2 linked regions of the Rattus norvegicus genome follow. The protein of the gene in region 1 interacts with the protein of each later gene in a pairwise test. Links are inferred from orthologs where the notes say so. Each region holds a gene or a part of one and is shown in the gene's direction. Other genes may lie near its edges. The genes, in order: Apoa1 and Apoc1.

Region 1 (3,766 bases):
ACATGGGCCGCCATACTCAGCCCACCGTACCCAGCTCTCCTGCTCTCCTATCCTGGGGAGTGAGCCTAGACCCTCACCGTTCTGGGAGGACATATCCTCACTGATTACATGACCCCTTTTAGTGGTCATGGTATATGGTAAGGTTGTCTCTGGAAGGGAGGCTGAGTAATAACTTCTACACATAACAAAAACATTGGCAACTAGGGCTGGAGAGATGGCTCAGTGGTTAAGACTGAGGTTAGGGCTGCTCTTCCAAAGGTCCTGAGTTCAGTTGCCGCAACCACAGGGTGGCTCACAACCATCTGCAATGGGATCTGATTTCAACCTCCGGCAGAGCACTCGTGTACATAAAATAAATGAATCTTTAAAAACAAACATTGGCAACTCTAAGGTCTGGATAAAAAAAGATCAATCATAGACTCCTTGACTAGCATTTTCGAGGTTTCCATCCCCAGCCAGACACCAGGCATGCATATTTTAAAGCTAGGCTTGTGGCACATTCTAGCACTTGGAAGGATGAAGCAGGGTTATCTTGAGTTGGAGGTAGGCTTGAGCTTCACAGAAAGACCTTGTCTCCAAAAGGGACAGAGGAGGGAGGTTGGGAGGGAGAGCAGGAAGGAGCTGACAACTCCATGTTGGCCTCTGTCATTTCCTCTGAATCATCAGAGGTGTCTTCACCCTCAGCCTGGGGGCCTGAGCCCCCTGCATTTCACCTAGTCAATTACCTGATGCCTCGGTTGTTATTGGATTTAGGGTTGGGAGGCTGGGGATGTGACATCTGGAGAGATGAATCCCCAAACTCGGGAGACCAGGGTGAAGCGAAAGGGGGAACCTCTTGGAATGCAACGAAACTTTGAGGCGGGGATGTGAGTTCAGGAGCCCAAAATTCCTCACTCTTCCTACCCTGCTCCAGGTTCAGGGCACTAGCAACACAGAGGAGCCCAGGAGTGGACTACATGAGACTAACTAAAAGAACACATATACCGCAGGATGGGGCAACTGCCTTACCCCCTGGGGACCCTTGGAGTCTGCAGCTACTCCCCGCTGCCCCCACCTGAACCCTTGATCCCAGCTCTGCAGCCCCCGCAGCTTCCTGTTTGCCCACTCTGTTTGCCTAGCCTCGGGAACAGAGCTGATCCTTGAACTCTAAGTTCCACATCGCCAGCAAAAGTAAGCAGTGACAGGGCCAGCCTGAGCTTATCAGTCTCCCAGCCCAGGCCCTGCCCACACACATATATAGGTCAGGGAAGAAGACCTGGACACCCAGACTGTTGGAGAGCTCCGGGGGAGGTAAGTGCTGCTACCTACCCTAGGCTACTCTAGTTCCCTCATGCCTCCCAGTGGATGCCCCACTGTCCAAAGCAATACCATGGATATCTGGGATCTGTCCCCACTCCAGATAGTTCTTCTACTGGGTTGAATGTGTGTGGCACCTCTCCATGGCAGCACCTCCCTTCAGTGCAGCCATTCTTCTTCTTCTTCTCCAGGTCGCCCACATCCTTCAGGATGAAAGCTGCAGTGTTGGCTGTGGCCCTGGTCTTCCTGACAGGTGGGTGCCTCTTGGTCTCCATGGACTAACTCCCTCCCTGGGCACAGAGAACAGAATTCCCACTGCTCTCCTCCAAGGCTCCAAGTCTGACATGTCAGCTCAGGCCCCAGCCCAGAGTTGACCTAACATGGGTCTCCTCTCCATCCTCAGGTTGCCAAGCTTGGGAGTTCTGGCAGCAAGATGAGCCCCAGTCCCAATGGGACAGGGTGAAGGATTTCGCCACTGTGTATGTGGATGCAGTCAAGGACAGCGGCAGAGACTATGTGTCCCAGTTTGAATCCTCCACTTTGGGCAAACAGCTGAAGTAAGGAAGGACCTAGTGTGGGTCCTGGAGCAGGGCAAGGGCTGCCCATCCAGGGTGGGCAGAGGAACCCTGTAAGAAGATCCTGTAACTGAGCTGGCTAGACCTTCACCTGCTTTCCTACCAGCTGGGCACCATGGAGGATTCCAATGGGAGGACTAGAGATGGGATTCATCTGGTTGTAGGGTAACCAGCCTGTGGATTCAAAATCCCTTTTCCTTGGTAACCCCCAGTACTGGTCAGACAGCACAAAAAAAAAAAAAAAAAGACAAAAAACCAAAACCAACAACAACAACAAAAATGGGACTGGCCTTGCAACTGGCACCAACCACATCTGTGATCTTGGTGCCTCAGGCCATGTGTACAGAGGGATGGGAAGGGAGGAAGGGAGTTATAGGGAGTTATAGAGTTCAGGGAAACTAGGAGCATAGCAACTACTATTGGAACAGGTGGCACCTAGGCCTGACCCCAGGTATCATGTGCATGGATCTGCAGACCAGGGGCAGTGCAGGATGCCTGGGGTCATCTCTCAGCTGCTCTCTTCCCCTCTAGCCTGAATCTCCTGGACAACTGGGACACTCTGGGTTCAACTGTTGGTCGCCTACAGGAACAGCTAGGCCCAGTGACTCAGGAGTTCTGGGCTAACCTGGAGAAAGAAACAGATTGGCTGAGAAACGAGATGAACAAGGACCTGGAGAATGTGAAACAGAAGATGCAGCCCCACCTGGATGAATTCCAGGAGAAGTGGAACGAGGAGGTCGAGGCCTACCGCCAGAAGCTGGAGCCTCTGGGCACCGAGCTTCACAAAAACGCGAAGGAGATGCAAAGGCATCTAAAGGTTGTGGCCGAGGAGTTTCGAGACCGCATGCGTGTGAATGCAGACGCGCTGCGCGCAAAGTTTGGGCTCTACAGCGATCAGATGCGCGAGAACCTGGCCCAGCGCCTGACCGAGATCAAGAACCACCCTACCCTGATCGAGTATCATACCAAGGCCAGCGACCACCTGAAGACACTTGGTGAGAAAGCCAAACCCGCGCTGGATGACCTGGGCCAGGGCCTGATGCCGGTGCTGGAAGCCTGGAAGGCCAAAATCATGAGTATGATCGATGAGGCCAAAAAGAAGCTGAACGCTTAGTGAGGCGCCCGTCACCACTCCCCACCCCTGAATTGGCTTTCTTACAATAAACGTTTCCAAAGTGGAATGACTTCTTTCTTTGGGTGACATAGGGAGGACGCTAAGGGGACATCAAGGGATATGGAAACATGGTGCTGCGGTGAGGGTTCCTTTGTACGGGGCTACTCAGCTCTTCAAGCTCACTCAAGCTGGGCACCTGGCTGGTTTAGAGTATGAGACACAATCCCTTCCTAAGAAAGGCTCAGAGGGAAATGATAGCCAGGCAAAACAACAAGGAGACCCCAAAGGGCCCCACGGAGGCCCAGATCACTAGTGCTGGAACCAGGTTAGGAGTGGCTGGAAATTAGACTGGCTTTGAGAGGACTGGTTTCTTGTGCTAGAAGTGTTTGGGGGAAGGATGGAAGTCCGCGGGGTAGAGGATGGGAGCCCCTTCCACTCCCTGGAGCCAGGATTCCTAACGGGCTCTCAATCACTCACCCCAAACCTCTCAGCAAACAATTCCCTTTTACCCCTCCTCCCCCCACACACACACCTCCAGAAACTGGCGGGCTGTGAATGCCTCAGGGCTGCAGCCTCTCTACCTGCCAATTGGGTGCAAAAACAAACAAACGAACAACCCATTTCGTGATGCTGATCGCCACACATTTATTAGAGAGGCCTTCATAGCCATCTCTAAACCCTGAAGGATGACCTTTAAGTCCACCACAGCTGGGGAAGCCGAGCTGAGATGTCTGAAGTTAGTCACTGCAGGAAAGGTGGGTCAGGATGTGCTGTGCCTTTT
Region 2 (4,295 bases), on another chromosome or scaffold:
TAAGTGGATCATACATTTAATCCCAGCAGGCAGACCTCTGAGTTCAAGACCAGCCTGACGTACAGACAGGACAGCCAGGGCTACACAGAGAAACCCTATCTTGACAAAACAAGAAAGAAAAAAAATCAGAGTTGAACGACTAGTAATTTAACGACCTTAGCTGTGCTCCCATTACCCTACCTGTGGTACAGGAAGCTCTCGTTGCTAAGAGAAAGGACATAGGAAGCACCGGGCAGAGTAAGGGGGACATCTGTTACATTATTCAGATGGGTGCTTGAGGATTGAGCAGGACTCCTTTCAAGAAGCAAGAGGGTCAGGCCTGGCGCCCACAGGGACTGGAAGCTGTGAGCTGGCCCCAGAGATGTTGCAACCCGGCCAGGGTCGAATCTGTTCTACCCCTTTCACAACCATCCCCCTGTTGTGCCCCCATCCTCCCACCCCCAGCTGACACGTGGGTTGCAGGGGCACCAGGCCAGCCAACCTAGAGTCTGGGCCTCTTAGCCACCAGCTGCCAGGGGGTCACTGGCGGTCATTGACGGCTCTGGAGGGAGGGAAGGGCCTTGGACTGTAGCCTGAGAGAAAGGATGTGGTGGAGGGAGGGGGCGGGGAAGCAGGCTTCAGATCTGGAGGGGCCTAGGAGGCCCAACAAGAGCTAATAGTGTTGGGGAGGGGAGTGAGGGTTGTGCTGGTTCAGGGGCACTGTGGAGCTTTGCAAGCTGAGAGGCTCTGCAGTTTTGACTAGCTAAAGAGGCAACTTGTAAAGAAGGGAGATGACGGCTGTCAAAGACCCTAGAGAGCATCAAAGGAGGTCTGAGGGTTTCCAGATACAAAGGCACTGGAGGTGAAGGAAACCAGAGCCCAGCATCCAGGACAGAGAGTGTGAGCTGAGGCTTCTGGACAAGGACAGGGTAGAGAAGAGCTAACCTGAGGGTGCAGTGTGAGCTGGGGTAAGATTTGGGGGCTTGGGGGGAGTTGTTTGTAAGACACACACCCCGCCAAGGTGAACAACCTCAGAGAGAGTGTGAGTAGGTAGAGCAGCCAAGGCTGGGTGAAGATCAGTGAGATTTGGAAGTGAGGGTGCTGACCAGTGAGGAGCCTTAGGCCTAAACAAAATGTTTGGACCGGGATCTGGCTCCCAGTATCCACCAGTATGGCAGAACAGGGTGGGTCGGTTGTGTTGGTGCCTATAATCCCAGCACTCACTAGAGAGGCAGAAGCAGGAGGATCACAAATTCCAGGCCAGCCAAAAATTCTGTTAATAAAAATAAAAAAGGAGGTGGGCACAGAGACAAGGGGGAGGCTCAAGGGGAGGGCGATCAACCTGCTCCGCCCCCTCCCCAACCCGTTAAACCTCTGTGCAGGATCCTCCCACCCCTGCGGGCCTCCTGAGAGAACCTTAGATCCAGGTTAGTGCCTGGGAAAGTGTTCCCCACTTCCCACAGATAAGGGATTGGGGTGGTGGGATCATAGTGGTGGGAGGTGGTGGGTACTAGTGATGCCCCCTATCCGCGCGCGTCTGCCTCCAGGGTGCCCCTCCAGCCAGGATGAGGCTCTTCATCGCACTTCCTGTCCTGATCGTGGTCGTAGCCATGGCTTTGGAAGGTAAGAGGCTTGGAAGTCTGAAGTTGGTCTTGGGCCTGTGGCCCAGGCTTAGAGGACTCTTGAGGGAGAGCTCTGAGGTCCCTTTCTATGTCACCATTCCACTACCGCTCTCCAATCATCCCCCAACCCATTGGCCAGGTGCCTTATTTTTCTATCAAGGTGGGTGCTGCAGGAGGCAAGTCTGTCCAGAAAAGACCTTAGTAACCAATGACCCTTTGGGATTGGCTAATCTTCCTAGAAGGGGTGGCGCGTAAAAACAAGGAGGTGGGCAGTGCAGTAAAAATAAGTGTCCAATACTCTTCCCCCAATGCTAACGGGTTTGCTTACAACCATCTCGCTGCAGGCCCAGCCCCTGCCCAGGCGGCCCCTGACTTTTCCAGCGCAATGGAGAGCTTACCGGATAAACTAAAAGAGTTTGGGAACACTTTGGAAGATAAGGCCCGGGCAGCCATTGAGCATATCAAACAGAAGGAAATTATGATCAAGACTCGGTTAGGACCTTTCAGGGCACGGGCGGATGTTCTCTTTCTTTCTGTGTGTGTGTGTGTGTGTGTGTGTGTGTGTGTGTGTGTGTGTGTGTGTGTCCCGTCCCAACACTGACACAATGTGGAAACAGCAGCAGAGTGATTGACGCCTAGTAACACCTAGTTGTCTGTCTGTTAGAGATGATTGTAGTGACTGGTTAGGGTAGACCTTGTCCCTTCCCTGTGTACTCTTGAGACAGGACATGACTTTGATCCCCTGGGACAGAGAAAGAATGTAGGAGAGTTGGGGCAGGGTCACAGCCAGAGTTGTGCAGGCCGCAGCTCTGCAGTTTAGACTGGCCAAAGAGAGATTAGGGCTGGCTAAGATCCCAGCAGCCAGGCTGTGGTGGTGCACGCCTTTAATCCCAGCACTGGAAAGGCAGAGGCAGGCAGATCTCTTGAGTTTGAGGCCAGCCTGGTCTACAGAGCTAGGTTTAGGATAGCCAGGGCTATACAGAGAAACCCTGTCTCAAACAAACAAACAAACAAACAAACAAAAAAGGCCCCAGCAAATTGGGAGGCTAAGGAAAAGAATCAGGAGTTTGAGACTAGCCTGGGTTACAGGGCAAGCCTCTGACTAAAAATGAGGAACAAAAAAATAACGAAAAAGCAGGAGGTGAAGACAGACACCCCAAGAGGCGCTTGGTATGTTGTAAACAGGTTGGTTAGCCAATTTGGCAAGTAGACAAGTTAAAGGTCTGATTTTGATTATGAATATCCAGCCAGACTTAAACTTGGCCAGGAAGTGCAAAGGCCCTGGGGCGGGAAGATCTGTAGATAAGAGAGAATGGCCTTCTAGACATCGGCTTAGAACTCGGGCCAAGGACAGGCCAGGATGAGTGGAGACAGCTTGGGCAAGCACAGGCTAGAGAAGGAGAGGGTGGGAAGCAGGAGATGGCAAGGCTTCTGAGGTGCAGCTGCACATGTTTTTAATCTCAGCAAGAAAGAAAAACAAACAAGCTTTAAAAAAAAACTTTTAAAAAAAGGAGAAGGAGGAGGGAGACTGAGAAAAGATCAAAGATCATTCAGTGCCTAAAATGCCTGTGAGTATCTGAAGTTGATACCCAGAATCTACATCTTAAAAGTTAGTCACAGGGTTCGGTTAAGAGAGCACGTGCTGCTCTTGCAGAGGACCAGGGTTCTGTGTCTCCCCCACACTCACGCACCTATGTCAGCACAGCTCACTGTGGCCTGTAACTCCAGCTCCAAGGACTCCAGTCCCCTCTCCTGGACCTGCAGGCACCAGAGCACAGATACAGGAACAAAACAAGACTTCAAGAGAATGTATAAGTGCCAGCCAGTGGTGGTGCACGCCTTTAACCCAGCACCCCGGAGGCGGAGGCAGAGGCAGGCGGATCTCTGAGTTCAAGGATACAGAGTTAGTTAGAGGTAGCCAGGGCTATGCAGAGAAACCCTGTGTCAAAACAAAACAAAATCGTGAGTGAGAGAAGTATGGTGCTGCATGCTTTTTTTTTTTTTTTTTTTTTTGGTTCTTTTTTTCGGAGCTGGGGACCGAACCCAGGGCCTTGCGCTTCCTAGGTAAGCGCTCTACCACTGAGCTAAATCCCCAGCCCCGGTGCTGCATGCTTTTAACCCCACTGATGGGGAGGACAGAGAGAACCCTGGCTTCAGCTAGGACAATCAGATGGACCCTGGGGTAAGCTAGCCAGCTGGCTGGCTATGCTAGGAGCCTGGATCAGGGACATACCTGAGGAAGACCTGAGGTTGTCCTTCATCCTCTATAGTCACCTGCTAGCTACCTCCCCACAGTGGCTGGCTTTGAAAGCCAGGTCAAGATGAAGTTTTTTGAGTTTTTGTTTCACAGTGCCCCATCTGGGCTGGGGATGTCACTCAGTGGGTAGAGCGCTTGCCTTGAGTGCTCCAAACCCCATAGTTTGGTCCCCAACACCAGCATTTGAGGGATGCAGATAGGAGGATTGGAAGTTCAAGGTCATCATCGGTCATCATCCTTAGCTACATATCAAGGTTAAGGCTAGCCTGAGCTATATGAGACCCTGTCTCTAAAACCCCACACACAAATTCTTTGCTCTGTGTGAGGGAACTTACCAGAGGTTTTCATCCCACAGACAGTATGAAGGGAGATAAAGAAAGGAACAGGGGCTGGAGAGATGGCTCAGTGGTTAAGAGCACTGACTGCTCTCCCAGAGG

Evidence for each region.
Region 2: the proteins of Apoa1 (region 1) and Apoc1 interact in a two-hybrid assay, tested with the Homo sapiens proteins (2 studies listed by BioGRID, with this or other methods). The link is inferred for Rattus norvegicus from reciprocal best matches to the Homo sapiens genes APOA1 and APOC1.

What each region holds. Positions count from the first base shown.
Region 1 is NC_086026.1:55,422,680-55,426,445, forward strand, and holds Apoa1 (apolipoprotein A-I preproprotein), read left to right. Parts: upstream 1-1,265; 5' UTR 1,266-1,290; intron 1,291-1,487; 5' UTR 1,488-1,506; coding exon 1,507-1,549; intron 1,550-1,699; coding exon 1,700-1,853; intron 1,854-2,402; coding exon 2,403-2,985; 3' UTR 2,986-3,050; downstream 3,051-3,766. UniProt on the Homo sapiens protein: Participates in the reverse transport of cholesterol from tissues to the liver for excretion by promoting cholesterol efflux from tissues and by acting as a cofactor for the lecithin cholesterol acyltransferase (LCAT).
Region 2 is NC_086019.1:88,475,387-88,479,681, reverse strand, and holds the start of Apoc1 (apolipoprotein C-I precursor), read left to right. Parts: upstream 1-1,376; 5' UTR 1,377-1,406; intron 1,407-1,461; exon of another isoform or gene 1,462-1,526; 5' UTR 1,527-1,544; coding exon 1,545-1,602; intron 1,603-1,945; coding exon 1,946-2,093; intron 2,094-4,295. UniProt on the Homo sapiens protein: Inhibitor of lipoprotein binding to the low density lipoprotein (LDL) receptor, LDL receptor-related protein, and very low density lipoprotein (VLDL) receptor.